3 linked regions of the Drosophila melanogaster genome follow. The protein of the gene in region 2 interacts with the protein of the main gene of each other region in a pairwise test. Each region holds a gene or a part of one and is shown on either strand. Other genes may lie near its edges.

Evidence for each region. The genes of interacting proteins can lie anywhere in the genome.
Region 1: the proteins of Dera (region 2) and CG2336 interact in a two-hybrid assay, tested with the Drosophila melanogaster proteins (one large-scale study listed by BioGRID).
Region 3: the proteins of Dera (region 2) and CG15717 interact in a two-hybrid assay, tested with the Drosophila melanogaster proteins (one large-scale study listed by BioGRID).

Annotation. Positions count from the first base shown.
Region 1 is NT_033777.3:6,578,540-6,583,136, reverse strand, and holds CG2336 (uncharacterized protein), read right to left. Parts: upstream 2,354-4,597; 5' UTR 2,221-2,353; coding exon 2,210-2,220; intron 2,142-2,209; coding exon 2,127-2,141; intron 2,065-2,126; coding exon 1,122-2,064; 3' UTR 866-1,121; downstream 1-865.
Region 2 is NT_033778.4:12,422,730-12,427,811, reverse strand, and holds Dera (Deoxyribose-phosphate aldolase), read right to left. Parts: upstream 2,330-5,082; 5' UTR 2,102-2,329; coding exon 2,050-2,101; intron 1,997-2,049; coding exon 1,413-1,996; intron 1,351-1,412; coding exon 943-1,350; 3' UTR 837-942; downstream 1-836. Other genes in the region: CG13154 (uncharacterized protein), read left to right, coding at 33-68, 130-834; CG8520 (uncharacterized protein), read right to left, coding at 2,561-2,683, 2,738-2,989, 3,044-3,646, 3,704-4,102.
Region 3 is NC_004354.4:13,126,592-13,135,382, reverse strand, and holds CG15717 (uncharacterized protein), read right to left. Parts: upstream 6,366-8,791; 5' UTR 6,282-6,365; coding exon 6,195-6,281; intron 6,078-6,194; coding exon 5,406-6,077; 3' UTR 5,347-5,405; exon of another isoform or gene 5,093-5,346; intron 4,391-5,092; exon of another isoform or gene 4,205-4,390; 3' UTR 3,587-4,204; coding exon of another isoform or gene 3,412-3,586; intron 2,452-3,411; coding exon of another isoform or gene 947-2,451; 3' UTR 818-946; downstream 1-817. Other genes in the region: MFS10 (major facilitator superfamily transporter 10), read right to left, coding at 947-2,451, 3,412-3,586; CG32638 (uncharacterized protein), read left to right, coding at 7,085-7,132.

The DNA.
Region 1 (4,597 bases), on a different chromosome or scaffold from region 2:
TATATTGAACAATTCGTTTGAATGGCTCCATCAGGGTATCGGACGGGAGCCTAAGTAAAGTCCCATATTTTCGCACTTGTTTGTTTATGAATTTGTTTATTTAGTGAGCGGGCCCTGCTTGCCGACATGCTTTACTATGCCACAGCGGGCCGGAACCCTGGTAGCCAACAGAATTCTGCTGGATTTCACGCAAATCTTATTTGCCCATAGCCACTGGACCCACCCTCAGCCGGAGTCCGTGGCCAGGACTCCCGACTCTGGTGGACAGAAATTCCACGGTTTTGTTTTCACTGCCTGCGTTGCATATTTCGCTCTGCTCCGCACCGCTTCCATTCCATGCCCCTTGGCATGTGCTGGTTTTTTAAATTTGCCCAATTCCAGGCATGATATGTGTGTGGTTTGGGGCTGGGCGAAAAATTCGAGCCTTATTTGCCTTTCAACTTGCCCGGGATCTGCGTCGGTGGCCGTGTTATTTATGCAAATGTCAAATATTTTGATATTCCGCTGCCATGTGAATGAAAGCAAACGGAAGTACATTATAAAGTTGCCCAGCCCCCGTTTGCCAAAGTCATTCCCATTCCCGTATTATTTGGCCAACCAACAAGCCGAAATGTGCCACTAATATGACCGCCCAGTGGCCCCTCTGCACGATCGACCCTCAGCAGCGACCAAGTGGAGTAATTATGGCATATTCGAAATTCCACCCGCCATCCAGCCACTTCCCACCCACTCACCTGGCAGCCTCAACATTTTGTTGCCAACACGAACCGCCTTTTGTTGCCTTTGTTCTGCAGAGCGGGGAAATCGGGGAAGGTGCCAATGGGGCAAAGTTAATTTTTGAAATTATTGGCACGTTAGGTGAATTACTTCGCAGAAAGAATTTTTAATATCGCAATACAAAGTCACTCATAATTTCCATTAGGCCGGGGAAACGGCCTGTTGAGTTTCCCCGGAAAATATGTAGGCCAAAACTCTTGGGACGGGCAGACGTTTTGTAGCAATTAAATTGGTAATTGAGTTGCCCAACCGGAAAGTCAATTAGCCAGAGGCCCTAGATCAATGACTAGTAATTTAAATTGGCTGTCAAAAGAAGTTCGAGTGCGACCCCCCGATGGGAGAGATCAGTACTGGACGAGTGCCTCGCGGGCCAACTTTGCCCAGATGGTGCCAACTGGATGGACAACCACTTTGCGCTTTCCCTTAAAGGTCAATGACTCGTAGTGGTAGCCGTCGATAATCTTTGCGGAGTTAAAGTTGCAAACGAAGGGCAGAGTGATTTCGTTCAGATTAACGTAGTAACAATTAATCGTGAAGATCAGCGGACTTAATCGGGCCACCAGTTCGTAGGCGGCTGCCAGTTTTTCGTTCCAAATGCACACAGAGGTAAAGTTAAGTGGTTCCTTAGCCTGCAGCTCAACGGCCTCCTTCATGGTTCGAAAGGTGTGCAGGGTTATGACCCCGGTGGGTCCATCAGCCAAGTAACGATGGCTAAGGTCGTAGACCAGCATGGGACTAGCATTTTCTGGAACAGTCTTGGGATTTCCAACTATTCTCTTTGCCTGTAAGTGACCTATTCTCTCCAGTGTCATTATATAAACCGGATGCCCGGAGATATCCGTGCTCAACGGTTCCAGGCGATCCCTTATGCGATCCACGAACTCCTCCAATATGGATTCCTGCAAGAAAAGAGTGGCCACCGCATTGCAGGCGAAGGGATCGTGAAGAGACTCAACGAGATAGTGCAAAGCGCAATTGATGTCTCCATCTTCGCAGAGAATCATCAGCCGCGGCGAGTTCCACTGGTATTTAACTTGCACTTCCGGTTCCGGTTCATCTTCACTCATTGAACTCGATCGGGAATGGTATGAAAGCCTAGGCACCTTCTTTGGCTTCTCAGGAGCACTGTCTTTGGACTTGAACTCTGTCTCAATTTCTAGGATCAACGGCACACTGACATCCCGAGGCTTGTTGCAAACCAGATTGTAGATAAATCCATAATCAATCAGTGGAGTCGGCAGCAAAGGGTACTTATAGATATATTGAACCTCCTCTTCTAGACTGATACTGTTTAAAAAGAAAAATATTAAAATACTCAGATCTGGATAGTAACTTATATCGATACCTACGCCGTGGGTCGGTTGCTGTGAATGAAAACGGAAATATGCATATTAGCGATAGCAATAGACACCATAATATTTTTTTTACTTACTTGTACATCATTAAAATCGGAAATATTACAAACTTAATAGATTTAAATATTTAAAAGGTAAACTTAACCGTTACTGAAAAGCCTATTAAGCTCGTCCCAAAAACAAACACACTCAGAATTTTTTTAACACTTTAGGCTTAGGATAGTTACATAATCTATTCGAAATCTGAAGTCTTTATAAAAGTGAGCTCCAAGCCGTACTTCCTAATCAACTGGAAATGCCTGTCCGCCTCGGTATCTAAGTTTCAGATACGTTGAGCCTTGTTATATCGCAGTGATTTATCAAATCACACTCATTCACACTTGACTTGTGCAGTTGACCGCCCATCGAAGGCTGCCCCCAACGACCTTATTGTGGGCAGAGGGATTTACAGTTGATTTAACCGTTTAAGCATGGCTAATGCATAATAATCGTTTGGCCGCAAACTTTTCAACCACTTCTGTGGGCATTTGTGTTTGAGTTCAGTGTGTATGTAGGGCGATTTCCCGTCCTGTTTTGCCCCTTGCCCAGACTCCCGTCCAACCTATTTGAGATAGAAATCATGTGCAGTCATTAGATTGTTTTTCGATTGACGTGACATGATAATGAAAGATTTTCTTTCGCTCGTTCCTTTGTTTCCCTTCGCTTTCTTGGCTCGGCTATTCTTTCCGCTTGCTTTTTCTTGGGTCGCAACTTTTGTGGCGCCCAACGTGCAATTTGTGCGAAAAGTGGGTGTGCAAAGTGGCGACGTGGACAATGGAAGGCGGCAGGTGGCAGGTGGCTGCCACTTTGTTTGCTGATTTGTTTATGGCTGACCATAATGACCGATGAAGTGGCAGCTGGCCGCCTCAAGTGGTTGTTAAACCCAGTTTCGCCGGCGAAATTAACACGAATTGCAATTAAAGTGGGCACGAAAATCATTCTCATGCACTCAGCCGAAAAACGTTAAATGTAAAATCTATATATCCATTTATATATATATGCTTGCAGTTAAAATATATTTAAAATAGAAAAATGCTTATACCGAATTAGAACACTTTATAATTAAAAACCACGATGATATGATTTCTTTCCTATATGATAGAGTGTTTATATCTGGAATTAACAAACTTACAATAAAAAGACTTTTTGAAAGTTTTATTCGGCTAGTTCTAAAACTGAGACTCTAGTTTGCATACAAATCGACGGACGCACAGAAGGTCATGGCTAAACCAACTCCCTTTTCAAATAATGTGTTTTATTTCTAAATCGTTTACTCAATTTTTGTTTTTGACTTGAAGCTTATTCTAGCCAAAAGCGTTTAAAGCGGTGACTGACATTTGTGGCAGCTCGGACCGACTGGCGATGACAGGTGGGACAATGACGGAAAAGTGTCGCCGGCAGCCCGACAACTTCGAGAGCTGTTCACCTGGTGGGGTGAGGACAAAGACTGGGCGAGACTGTTTTGCTCATTAAGGGACTATTTAAATAAAACGCCTGTTAACTACAACGAGATAGGCGAGTTATGTATGTTATGTTATGAGGTGGTTTTAATTAAAATGTATAACTGGAATCAAAAGAATCAGTCAAAGAAAGCCGCACACATACAAAAAAGAAAATGTACCACGTCTGGCGTATTATAAGGGCATTTCCATTTCCTACGGACACATTGAGTCCCTGACAGGGGGAAATGGCAGCGAGCGAGCTCTTGACTCGCAGGACGACTTGCCACGCCCCCTGCCATCGCCACCGCCGCCCACGTGCCACTCCTTTTGCATGTCCTCGTCGCCGTCGACGTCGTCGTCTTCGCATTTCGTCTGGTTCTTGAGCGGCGGCGCTTTGTTTTGGCTTAATTAATACGCGTTTACATGTTGCCGACTTACGCACGCTTCGCATGTTCCAGAGACTCACTCACTCAAATACACACAGTCACACATTCAAACTTGGGACGCCTCCAGGACATTCCCGCCCCTTTTTGCGCACTGCGGTTGACACGCAAATGCAATTTGTGTGCCTAAGGTAATTTCTGTCTCCAGGTCTCGGGGTCTCTTCCACAATACAAATGAGTGGAATAAATATTTAAATAGAAGTCCTTGTTTGGCCTTCTTTTCTCGCATTTTTCTGCTTGCCTCTTATGAAACTTTAATTAATGCGTTAGCAGCACACAAATTTTAATCAAGAACGTACTTGTGGCCTAGCTGATCATTAATTAGGTGGGGTAATTGCAAACTGGCGGCAGTTTCACTTCCGTTCTAGCTGGAATATCATTTAAATTTCCATTTAAAGTCGACCACAGCCCCCGCGAGTATAACCATATGCTGCGGGCCAAAGTTGCGATAAAATCAAAATTTTAATTTAATTAAACGCGTACTGAATTTGTTGTAATCAATTAGCTCGATGTTCACTGAGCACCGAATGAGTTTCACGGA
Region 2 (5,082 bases):
TATGAGGAGCTGAAAGTGAAACGTTCAGAGCTATGGGAATTAAATTGGACATGAATGGTTTATTGGTTGTGAGTTGTTTGGCTTGACCGCTCAATGCGAAAATCGGACTAAGTTTTCACATCCTTGCAGTTGTTTTTGTGCGCCTTTTGCTGCAGCGTGGTGGCCAAACCACCGACAGCTCGGCGGGCACAGCTGCACGACGATGTCCAGCTTATCCATCCCCACATCATCACCATAGAGCGTTTAGAGAATTTGCTGCGGCGTGCTGGGGAAATCTTTGGTCCGGCTCTAGAGGAAGATGCCATGGCGGAGGCCAGTAGTCAGGTGCAGGAGCAAGTGCAGCCGCAGCAGCGAATGCTGCCGCCAACGGAGCAGCCGTATAACTTCTATTTACCTCTATACGACTTCGTGGAGCCCAAGCTGGATGCCAAGAGCCGAATGCTGGAGAAGATTGCTCCTCCGCCGCAAAAGACGGAGCACAACTACTACGCGGAAAAGCCAAAAAAGAAGCCAAAGAAGTTTAACGCTGCCAACAAGCACATCAACCTCAATCTCAAGTGGCTTAACACCTACGAGAGGGCCATGGGCGGAGCAACTGCGCCCAAAGCCATGTATCTGGAGCAGGACGAGCGCAACCGAATAAACTTCGACGACTCCTTCTTTGCGGTGGACATGCAGGTAAAGATTCCGGATAATCAGCCCCACAAGGAGCCAGCTGCGCCCACAGAGCTCTTGCAGCATGGCGAAGAGCAGGCCGAGGAAGATTTGATGGCGGCTCCTGCGCAGTTAGCCTTTAACTTCAAGTCTCCCGTCCAGGAAGAACGTCGAACATAGATGCGGTTTTTTTTGCTATAGGTTTTAGTCAGTTGTATAAAAAAGCTACAATAAATGCACTTAGAGTGAGTAAAGTCCAGAATACGGATTCGACCAGTTGGCCTCCTCCTACTTCTTCCGCAGCTCCTTGCAGAAGGTCTCGGCAGCAGCAGCCTCGCGAGACACGGGCACATTTTTCTGAGCCTCATCCTCCTCGAGTTTTTTGACACCCTGACGCACAACGCGTTCAATGTCGTCCAGCAATCCGGAGGCTCCGAAACGGAACCTCTCGGGACGCAACCAGCGGATGCCAAGAGTTTCGTTGACCAACGTCATCCAGGCGATCGCATCTCGTACAGTCTTTACTCCTCCGGCTGGCTTAAGGCCCACAATCTGGCACGTGCGTCGTTTGAATTCCTGAATGGCAAATATCATGACCAGGCCAACGGGCAGGGTGGCGTTGACTGTCTCCTTTCCCGTTGAGGTCTTGATAAAATCCGCTCCGGCCATCATGCAAACCATGGCTGCTTTGTAAACCTAAAGAAATTAATGGATTTGAATGGTATTTTAGTATAGGGATTAGGCGATATTGATCTCACATTATCCATGGTGCCCAGCTCCCCGATGGCCAGAATTGTTTTTAGGTGAGCCCTTTGTCCACAGGCACTGCGCATAAGGACCACCTCGTTGTACATGGCCTCCCAGTCGCCAACGAGGGCCAACTGGCGATTGATCACAATGTCGATCTCTGTGGCTCCAGCAAGAATGGCGTGGCTGATCTCCTGCAGGCGGGTCTGCAGGCCGTACTGGCCCGTGGGAAATCCCGTGGCCACCGCTGCAATAGCCACCTTATCCAGTTTGTCGTACTGTTGGATAGCTAAATAGGCGTCCTTTACCCTGGCGGGATAAACGCAAACGGCGGCCGTGTGCATCTCTGGGATGAGAGCCCGGTCGAAGAACTTGTCAAAGAACTGCGGCTCGAAGGGATAGCAGGCGCGTAGGCATAGTCTCCGCACATTGGCAGCCGTATCATCGCCCGCCAAGGTGGTAAGATCTGTCAGCATCAGAGCCCTCAGCGCCCAGGCGATTTCGTTGGCTCCGGTGACATGGCATCGCTGGGACACCGTCAAAGCGATCTCCTCGACCTGCCGCAGCGAGATGTTTACCTTAAGCAGGGAGGGATCTGCGAAATATATATGTATATATTTAAATTCGTACTATTGTGCGAATTCTTACCATAGGGCAGGGTTTTGTTTACTTCCAATTCCTTCACATCCATGCTGCTCATTGCTGTCAAACGAAAATTTAGCTGACTAAATTCCACTTGAAGATAAAATCGTTCGATCGCCGATCTTGACCTCTAATCTTCTACTCAACCTCAACCGAAGAACATGGAGAGTCTTATCAATTTGCTTGTTGGACAGCTGATGACGACGTTGCCAGACCGTTCGCATTAACTGATAATTTATGAGATGGATTCCGTTAAAAGATCACCGATATTAACAATAAGTAAATTTGTTATGTAAAACTCCACAGCTTGCTGTTTAATAAAGCCAATCGCTTAGGTAACTTTGTCTATTTTTTATTGTCTTAATACTTGCGAAATACACCTAATTTTAATATTGCATTTTCGATATGAAATTTGTAAGTACAAGATATTGTGAATTTTAAAATACCGCGTCAGCGAGGTAGAAAACATGTAATTTTTATAGCGCTAATTGAACTACTGCTTTGTGACAAGGGGTTTTCATCGATGTTTGGCCCACTGCTCCCAGTACTCCCTCTTCTGCATTTCATAGAGTCGAGATAGTGTGCGATCAAAGGCGAACAGCTCTTCCTCGCCGGTGAAAAAACTGGCTTTGGATTCTTTCTGTAAACAAAAACGTGTTGATTTTAATGGTAGAAGAATGAGTTACTAACTTACTATATTTAGATCGTCCATTAGGGTTCGCTCAGAATCGGACAGAGTTTTGGAACCTCCAGTAAAGCTGAACAAGTTTTCCAGCGCAACGTCGGATGATATCACCACACGCACTCGGTTATTGTAAAGGGTATCTATGAGCGTGATAAATCGTCGCATCTGTGCCTTCACATCAAGGGTCAGCTGGGGCACATCTCGGATGAGGACGGTGTGAAAGAATTGCGATATCTGTAAGAAATCACTGCCAGCCAAAGGCTAATGCGGAATATGTTGAGTATGGGTAAGATTATGTATTAATACTTTGCTTACGCGATCACAGAGTTCCGAGAAGGTGCTGTCCAGTACCTGGCCACACGTGCGATTGAAGGTCAGATCTCTTCCGAAATGAGTCAGGGTTCGCGGCCGGATAATATCGTTTTCTTCGGCGCACAGGATCTTGAACATGCGATTCATACTGCCGTCCGCATCCGTTTGGCCTTTGACGAAGTAGTTGGTGTCACCAGATTGGGCTATACGTCGGTAGTCAATAGAATCCAACTGGGACACCTTACAGCGACGCTGAAGTAACGCAATGAAGGGCAGAAAGTTCGTGCGCTGCAGTCCGTTCTTGTACAGATCCTCTGGATGCCGATTGCTGGTGGCCACAACCACAATGCCATGGCGGAAAAGGTGCGTAAACAATCTCTTTAGCACCATGGCGTCGGCTATGTCCGTCACCTGAAATTCATCGAAGCAAATCAACCAGGACTCACTGGCAATCAGGTCAGCAACCGGTTTTGTGGGATCAAATGGTGCTGGTTTTTCAGAATTAAAGGCACGGTCAACAGGTCCTTGTCTCTGCTTGGCCTCGTGGATGCGGGTGTGCACGGTGTTCATGAACGAAGTAAAATGGACGCGCTGCTTTCGATGAATCTGAAAGTCACAAGTCATGTGAATATGGGCCTCGAGAAATACTCATTCATCACTTACTTGGGTACAGCAGTCGAAGAACAGGTCCATCAGAGTGGTCTTGCCCACACCCACGCTGCCGTACAGGTACAGACCCTGAGGAGCGTGACTGCCAGCGTTAGGATCATCCTGATCGTCATCTTCGGTGGAAGATTTCCTACCAAAGATTGAACTGAAGAATCCTCCGCCGCCACCGCCCGCCCTGTAGCTGGGTTTATACCCCTGAATCTTGTGGTACAGCGCATCCAGCTCCTTCATCGTCTGCAGCTGCCTGTTGTCGGTCATCAGTTGGCCAGAACTAACACGCTTCTCATATTCCTTCAGCGGACTGAGACCGCTCATGTGGCAGGCGGGCGCCCATAGGAGCAGCGGCTTCTGCCGCGCACAGCGGACCACAAGCCCCAGTTGGTAGGTGAACATAGCAGAGTGCCACAATTAGCGCTTAACTAGGAGCTAAATCCGCGTCATCTAGACATTACATAAAACTAGAGACCTCACTTCCGCGAATTTTGACCGCGAATTTCGGTTGTTGGCCGTGAAATTTTCCCAAACCAGGGCTGGAAACAACAACAGCTGATCTGACAGCTGTTCGCACGGATGCCATAAGGTTGCAAGAGCTGCCAGATTATTTTGAGCAACCGCATTTTAAAATTTAAAATTGCTAAAATTTGCTAACAAAAAATGGACAGTAAGAAATTAATACTTTAGGGCTTATTTTAAAACGGTTTTTTGAAAGATTTTCGAATCAATAGAATAAAATTTAATTCCACAGAGCAAAAATATTTCTTAAGCCTTTGAAAAAATTTTAGATTGTTTTCTAATAGAATAAAAGATAAACAAGAACACAATAAATATGAACTCCTACCGATTTAACAATTAACCGTGAACGACAATAACAAACCTTGGGCTACGTAAACCTCTAATCAGGAATGCGAGGTAACAAAAGGATTTACAGCCCGTAAATCTTGTTATGGCACGTTTTAAATCTGATGAGTAATAGAAACAGGCGATAATCGAATTACTGTGGCACTTCCTGCACTTTTGTTTAGATTGCGTGATTTGTGTTACAGATACCAGTCAGGTGCTTTGTATTGGCAGAATTTTCCTATTACGACATATACATATATATGTTTTACAGTGGTAACTAGGGATTCTCATTTGCTTCGATTTAGCAGTGAACGATGAAGATTAGATAGGTGCATTTTTGAATGCCACTTACATATTTACTCCACTTTTAATTATTCCCTAATTCCCTATAAATGCAGTTAAGTGGATTAAGTATGTGGTATTAGCGGGAAAATCTGTTTCAAAGCTGGTTTTAGTCTACTGTTAAACTTTCAAAACAAAGCATTGGATTGATGTATTTTTATGGTAATTGATGTATTTTGAAGGTATGGGGA
Region 3 (8,791 bases), on a different chromosome or scaffold from region 2:
ACGAAAACTGAGGCTGCGACAAAATCTCGGATGCATATTGTTTAAATGAACTTATTTAGAAAATTAACATTTAACATTGTAACATTTAAACCTACGAAAAGTTACTAAAAGAACCAAAGACAGAGCTTTATCGAAGGTATTCTATTCGTATTTCTAAATCATAATATAAGAAACCTTTAAAATTAAGATTTAAAGCTGTAAAATGAAGAAGGTATTGTATTGCTTTAATCTTTCTTAATTATATATTATCGTTTCTACGCACAAACATTTTACTACCAAAGTATTACTCACTATTTTGAGATACTTTTTATACACCCCATTTATGTTTTAGGCATAATTTGACATGAACACTTCGCCCCTGAAATTATGCAACATTTTTACAGCCTTCAAAAACATGAAAAGCCTAAAAGTGTTTTAAAAATCCAAGACTCTAGTAGCTGCATAAAATAAATAACCCATCAAATCATAATTCTCCAATGAAGAGGTATTACTTAGTCGGATACACGAAAACCACCTGCCAGTTAAAGAATAAAATGCTTAAATCAGGTGCCACAGTTCGATATGTTTGTGCTGTTTATTTCGACAGATCTACGTGCCTTCGAGCGTGTATATGATAGATATATAAATATATATGTATATATATATATAGTTGGTATTGGTATAATTGTTTACAAAAAAAAGACGCCTAGCAAAACAAAAGTCCATATAAAAGGACGATACACGTATATAATACACTAAAACAGTTAACATCCTTTCGATTTTCCATTCCGATTTGGTAGCACTAGTTTCGTTCGTTTCGTTTTTTTTTTTTCTTTTTGGAAGCCACATTCTTGTCCTGCATCCGGAAAACTTCGAGCCCAAATACATATGTAGGATATATGTGTATATATCGGAATTATCACAAATGCTTATGATCTAGCTAAAATAGCGTATAGTTAGGCTTGCTTCAAGCGCGCTGGGATCGTGAGTTGCGTGTGGGTGGTGTCTTCGACCAGCTTTGCTCCTCGGCGCTGGCGAAGATCAGGTAGATGAAGTTACCGGCTATATTCAAGCCCGCCGCCAGCCAGAAGACCAGATGCCACTGTGTCAGAGTCTCGCGATGATTGATGATTAGACCGATGACATACGGAGCCAGGAAGCCACAGATATTTGCCGCCGAATTGGTGATGCCATACATGGTGCCTGCATATCGTGGACTGAGCGCTATGTGATTCATCTGGTTGCCAGCATAGACGGCGCCGCCGAAAGAGCCCACGCCGGCCAACATAAAGGTGACCCACACCCAATCGCAGCCCACATAGATGATGCCAATCAGGCCCAGTGATGGCACCACGGAGGCCACCGTGTTCCACAACTTATACGAGTTCAGCAGCGATATGTAGCGTCTGGCTAGCATCCAATCCGCCAGGGCGGAGCAGGCAATGCCCACGAACCAGGAGGTTAGATACGGCACCGCATTGAGCAGAGCATTCGACTGGATGTCAAAGTGTAGGATGTTGCTCATGTAGGTGGGCAGCTCGGTTAGCTGCGTGTAGAAGGCCCATCCCTGGCCGCATTGCGTCAACAAGATGGCCCACAGAGGTACGGATGTGAGCAGCGATGACCAGGGTATCGGTTCCTCCGGCGGCGCCCGCAGACTCACTTCATCCTGTCCCTCCTCTTCCTCGGCCTCCGCTAGATCCTGATTTATTAGCCTCTGAACCTGTAGACTCCTTTCGATATACTCTCGCTCCGATTCTGAGATCCTGGGATGATCGCTAGGCTTGTCGTACACCAAATACATCCATGCGATGAACCACAGAATGCCCAACAGTCCGAAGATGTAGAAAGCCGACGGCCAGCCACCCAGGAAGTCCAGCGAGCACAGCCATCCGGCCAGCGGCATGGAAATGACTGTTCCGATATTGGAGCCCGCATAGACGATTGCGGCGAACTTGTTCCTCTCCAGCGGCGGTATCCAGTGGGCAAGCATGGCGTGCATAGCTGGATAGGTGACGCCCTCGCCCATTCCCTCCAGGATGCGGACCAGGACCAACAGCGGCAGATCCCAGTGGGCAGCCAATGGAGTTATAAGCGTAAAGACCGCCGTGATCAACACTCCATAGCCGTAGATCTTCTTCCCACCATACAGCTCGGCCATCCGTCCGCCGGGCACTTGGGTTAGCACATAGCCATAGAAGAAACTGCCGAGCACCAATCCCTGCGTGGCCTCGTCCCACACAAACTCGCCCTCCTTCTGCGGATTGGGATCGCTACCATTGTGATGTGGTGCCGGTAGTGGACACGTGTCCGTATCAATCACCGATGAGTTGCTGTGCGGAATTGCCGTTTGGTTCACCATGGCCACAATGGCCACCGACAGATTGACCCGCATCGCGTAGACCACGGCGAATCCCAGGAAGCCCATGAATCCGAAAATGTGACGCGTCTTTGGGCCACAGCCATGGTTTTCTGCAGGGTGGAGAGAGGAGAGAGTGGATGGTTAGTAAGCTATGGTTTAGGAGGCGTAATAACGATATCAGTTCCGGTTTTACTTAAAAGTTCTCGCCGTTCTCGATAAGGCCCAATGTTACACTGAAAATCCCTAAATACCATTCAATGTGTTATCATTGCATAGTTTAAATTGCCTCAATTTCTTCACTTTTTTATTCCTTTAGAAATGTTTACATGAGATGCCATTGCCAGTGAATTTAATTTCTTTTCAGATACTTGTTCATAGGAATCGCTCAAGTATAAAATCTAAAATAAAAATATTACGATCTGATACCATCGAAAAAGTTATCGGCCCTCCGTTCCATTTGAAATGCAGATTTGTACTGTTCTATAAAGTTCAGAAAAACTTCGCTTCATATCAGTAAATGTAAACAAGTCGTAATTTCGGCCCTTGGCGAATAAATTATACATAGGCATAGGCTGTTAACTGGATAACTGGATAGTATTACGTGAAAATTAAAATTTATGCGTAATTATTAGGTTATTTTATATTATATGTATGTTATGTTATATGTATAAAAACATTTTAATTATTTTTATTAGTTATTGAAATCTATAAGCCATATAATATCTTACTTTAAGATTAAATGAGAATTATTATAAATTGAAAGATACAATTTTAGAGTGTCTTGGATATACGTAAAATGAAATTTGTTTACAACAAAAAGTATCTTTGCGTTGAGTACTGTTTTTTTTTACACAGATATTCCGAGAGTTTATGTTTAATAAAAGTACTGACCCAGGACATATGTATGTACAATACATAAATGCAAATCAATATGAAGCAGAAATAGCACTAAAGATTTAAATAAATAAAGGTATCTTGAGCTTGTAATACGCATATCTACGTTGCTCCACCTACATATGCTATAGCTAGGTAAATATCTTTCCCCATCTGTGTATCTTGTAGCTACTCACCCTCCGCAGCGCCGCTGGAGCGGATTAGCGGTCGTTCGCCGGAGCAAAACGCCTCCCGTTCGTCGTCCGCTTCGTCGTCGGAGCGCTCCGCCGAGGCGGATGAATTGGAGGAGGTGGATGGATCGTAGTAACAGGAGGCGTCCCGCGACTCGTCCGTCCATTTGTGCGGTGGCATCGTGGCGCTCTATTTGGTTTCGTGGATTCCGATTGGAGATGTTGGTGCTTGGCGGTCTGTGCTTTTCGAGCGTCTTTTGAGCGTTTGGAACTGCAACTGCCAACGCATTTTCTCTGCCGGAGCGGCAGCTGTAGTGTAGTTATTGTATTTGTATCGCCAGCGGTGGCGGAAGCGGTTTGCTTGTCCACCAAAATCAAGAGCCGTGTGAGCGGGAGCGGGAACGGGAGCGGCAACGCGAGCGGACACCTCACCACGCCAGCGGGAACCAGCGCAGACTGACGGACTGGCAAATGGCAACGGGCAACGGACAGCGCAACAACAAACCTAAGCAAAAGGCAGCGCCAGCAAACGTAGCTTCTAACCACAAGAGGGGTAACAGTGGCGTAGTTGTGGGGTGGCGAGCCAAAATCACAGAGGGGATTCCTCGAGTGAGAAGAGTAAATACTTTCTGGCGATAGAATGATGGCGTAGTTCTTTGGGAATTTCAGTCATTGTTTAGTTGCCCCTTTTGCTGCGCCACTGCGTTTGGAGTCACCACAGCTCGCTCCCTCTCTAATGGCTGGCTCTGTGGCGTTCTCGCTCTCTCCCGTGTGAAAGTGGAGCATGAATGGTGCGGCGCTACGTCACAGAAGGGGATGCAAGAACGAAAGAGAGTGGGTGAGAGAGAGAGCATTAGAGAGGGCCAAAGAGAAAGGGGGTGATGTGCGAGAAGAGAAGAGAGTGCAGTGTGAATTGTATTGTTGTGAACTAACTTAAGTATACTATCTTTGTTTAGTTACAGTTAGTTTACACACACACACAAACTATAAACGGCGATATGGTATATTTGCCAGCACTGAAAAATTACTATTTGTAAGAAAATAAAAACAATAAAACAAAACTAATTTCCAGATAGTCGAAATCAAAAAGGGAATTTGTACTAAAATCTTGAGAATAAAAACAACGAGGAGAGAAAGGCAAAGTATACTTTAGTTGCCAACACAAATACACGCACACTCAAACAACTCAGGCTAACACAATAGCTACGTTTAAGTAGCCAAGCTCTTTTAATGTATGTAAGTCAATTCAAGCAGGCTCTAGTTAGAGAACAAAAGAAATGAGCAAAAACCTAAATTCCACACATAGTATGTACATTTCTACATCTGGAAATTTTTCCATATTTGTTGTCCGTTTACAATGAAATAGATAAGATAAAGGGTTAAGTTGATCGATCGCTGCGTAGCTCGCACAAAACAAAATGTTCTTTTAAAAATTTTCATTGAAATCATTACCAGTTTATCAGTTAAATGGTTCATTTACTTCATAGTATGTTAAGTTTACTAAAATGAGCGCTATTATTTTGGCCCCAAGTGTATGAGTGTGCCCTTCAACTGCTTCCATTTAAACTGCTTTGCAGGATTTCTATTTCTGGAGCAGCACTTGCGCATGTCCTGAAAAAATGCCTGTTGCATGCAGAGATTCGTGGACCTACCCCAAATTCCCACAGATGCATAAAAGTTGGCTGATGATTTTTCAGTGGACAATTATTGACAGAGTATCAAAAAAACAATTCAGACTCAAGGACCTTTTCGCAATACAATTGGAATATTATGATGGTTGCAAAATCAGATAATTTCTAAGTTAAGCCACATTAAATGCTAGTTGTTTGACATAACTCCTAATTTAGTTCGATATAATTCCAATTGAACTGTCGAAAAGGATGCCCCAAGCTACATGTAAAATGCTTAGAGAGGTATTTTAAAGTATGGCTTAAAAAGCACCTGGATGTAATTCCTTCCGGATGTGATTCGTCGCCGTCGAAGTCCAGAACTGTCACTCTTCAGTTGCCGAAGATGGTGCCCACGGGAAAGACGACGATCCTCCGTTTGCCGCTCACCACCAGCGATTCATAGTGATAGTTCTTGGCCAGCAGAACATCGTTGCGGTCGGCAGCAAAGGATTCCCAGATGGGATCCAAGTCCGGATTGAAGCAATTAATGGCCACAATATCGCTCGGTAGTCGTGGTATCAGTTCGTAGGCGCAGCCCAGCTTCTCATTCCACAGACTAACTTGGCCGTAAGGTAGGGGATCCCTTTTGGCCAACTGGCCGGCCTCCTTGGCTGTGCGGAATGTGTGCACCGTCACCACTCCCGTCGCTCCATTGCCCAGATAGCTGTGCACGCAGTCGTACACCAAGACGGGTGATTCCCCAGCCTTAAGGCTTTCGCCTTGTACTGTCTTGGCCTTCAGCTCTTCGATCTTGGCCAGCGTGCTGGTGTAGCTCGGATGCTTGGACACCTCCTGCGACAACGGACGCAAATCCTGCGCCACTAGGCCCACAAACTGATCGGCAATGCTCTCCTGGAGTAGCAACGTGGCCACCGATCCCTCGGCAAAGGGATTCTGCAGGGACTGGAGCAACTGGTGGCGCGCTGAGTGCAGATCACCGTCCTCGAAGACGACCATCAGCTGGGGGGAGCGCCACTGGGGTGCACTGGGAATCAGCGCCAACTGCAAGTAGATACATTTTTGAATTTAACATATGTATGTAGGTGCTCCGATAATCTCACTGAGACACAATCCGTGTGCCAAGGAGATCAAGGTTATGTCCGATATTGTCTGACTGACCTTCGTTTCCTGCGCCGTCGGCTGCAGCTGGTTGACCATGTAGCTGGTGATCCTGGACGGCTGGGACTGGGTGAAGTTGCTGGCCATGCTCTGCGAATTGAAAACTTGAATTCAATGGAATCGCCCGATCAGCTGCGTTATCAGCGGCTCACGCAAACATACACACACGCACATAAACAGACACACACGCACACACACATTCACATGCAGAGAAGGAAGATCGCTGATAAACTAAAATACCAGTTATTGGTATTATTCAGTATTTAACACGGCCTGTCGCATTTTATAGCTACGGTCACACCGAAATAATAACTGGCATGTATAAGCGGAACAGCGACCGGTCACATTGGCCCACACATCACAATTTTAATTTAAATTGCAATTGGTCGTGTTGCTGCGCTGACGCCTTCCAGCGTATAAAAGAAAATAACACTTTTGCCCCCGGCTAGCTAATAGTTGTTGACATCACTCGTTATTCGCCGTTCATTGTTGACGCCCCCGTGCAAAGGCAGCAACAACAACAGCGATTGCCAAATATTGCAGCAGCAACAACAAGAACATTTGGAGAACGAAAGAAGACCAACAAGTGCGCGCACACACACACACACGCACAGACGCACACAGATACACTCATACAGTGAAGCTATTGCGCTTTTAGCACCAATTGAAAGTGAATTGCAAGTGAAAATAGACGCAAAGTGGAACGATTTCAGCAAATTGTTGCACACGAAAATAACAAAACAGCTGTGCGACTCATTTTTTTTTGTGTTTTATTGTTGTTGTTGTCTGCGCCGCGTGTGGCAGCAGCAGGAGTGGGAGTGAGAGAGCGGTAGCCGCTGCAATAACTGCATTTGAGTGCGAGCGAGAAGGAGCAGGAGAGCGACATCATCATGACCGACCTCAACGAGCTGATGGGATCCCCTTTTGTGCGTGTGAAGGTAAGCAAGCAGTGCATGCGATGCGGGAGACGAGATGCCGCTATTGCACTGCACTGGCCAGCAAGCAGTGCACTGCACTCACCCCCCTCATCTTATCCAACAAACAATTGCAGCCATAAAAATAGCAATGGGCGACTAGGAAAACTCATAACTCATGACAAAAAAAAAAAAACAAAGAAACAGATAAAAATTCTGAATAAATGAAAAAGTCTCATTTAAATTAGGGGAAAGAATAAACAGGGTAAATAGATAACATATGGTACAGCTGCGGTCAAAATATTAACAGCAGGGCGGTTCAACTGGCTGGGTGGCACACATAAACAGAAGAAACAGATAAAGAATTTTACGGAAGCGGTCAAAAAATTAAACTGGGCGTATGAAACATACGTGTTTGTTTTTTAAGGAATAAAAGCCATGAAAAGTAGATAAAAACTTTTTTTGGAAATTTACTTACATGTGTTTGGATGCTTATTTTGCATTCAAAGTGGATATAGCTACATATACATACATATATCGGCAAATATAAATTACTTGTTGTAGAACGAAAATAAGTAAATTAATGCCATCGTTATATGTATAAGTAAAAAATACACATAAATGACATTGTATGTACAGCTGGACTAATGCAACTTGTGTGGGCGAAATAAAACTGCTTGAGCGAAATTTACAGCTTACGGGAAAACCTTATAAACTAATTACATCGTTTCACTAAAAACATTTTCCAATTGTGCAGTTTTCTGTCCAAGAATAAATATTGTTATTTCTATCATAATACAATCCGTTTTTTTTACCATAACATTATAAATAATGGTCCAAATATAAAATGAGATGCCTCGTTGTGTTCGTTATTAAATACCAAATCGAACTGTATTCAAAAATTTCCTTAATTCTTCGATGAAAATGATAGGGAACGTTAGCCTTGGTAATTTGCTGCTCAAAACAGTTATTTTTTCATCTATATAACAATTTTTAGCGTATTTATGACAAAAATTCCATTTGTAAATATTACGTTTTTGGCAAAAGCTGTTTTTCCGAATTTATGTGATCAAAAAATCCGTTTTTTTGCCACAACTTTCAAATTAATTGCCTGAATATGAAATGTCATACCTCAATGAGCTCGTAATTAAATTTCCAATTAAACTGTGTCCAAATATAAGAATTCTATTTTTTCGCCATTTTTTGCAAATTTTGATGATGTTACCCCTTACAAAAAAATGCGAAAATTGACCCAAAAATTAATTTTTCTAAATCCTTCAAAAAATGATTGGCGTCGTTAGTATTGGTAAATAGCTGCTCAAAAAGGTAATTCTTTTATCTATATGACAAATTTTAGAGAAGTTATGACGAAAAGTTCCGTTTGTAAAATCACTTTTTTGGCAAAACCCGTTTTTTTCGAATTTCGGTCAATAAATAATCCGTTTTTTTTACCACAACTTTTAAAATAATTGTCTGAATATGGAATGTTATACCTCGTTGAGCTCGTAATTTAATTTCCAATCCAACTTTGTTCAAAAATAAGGATTCTATTTTTTCGCGATTTTTTTGCAAATTTTGATGATGTTACCCCTTACAAAAAATGCAAAAAATTGACCCAAAAATTAATTTCCCTAAATCCTTCAAAAAGTGATGGGAATCGTTAGCAATGATAAATAGCTGCTC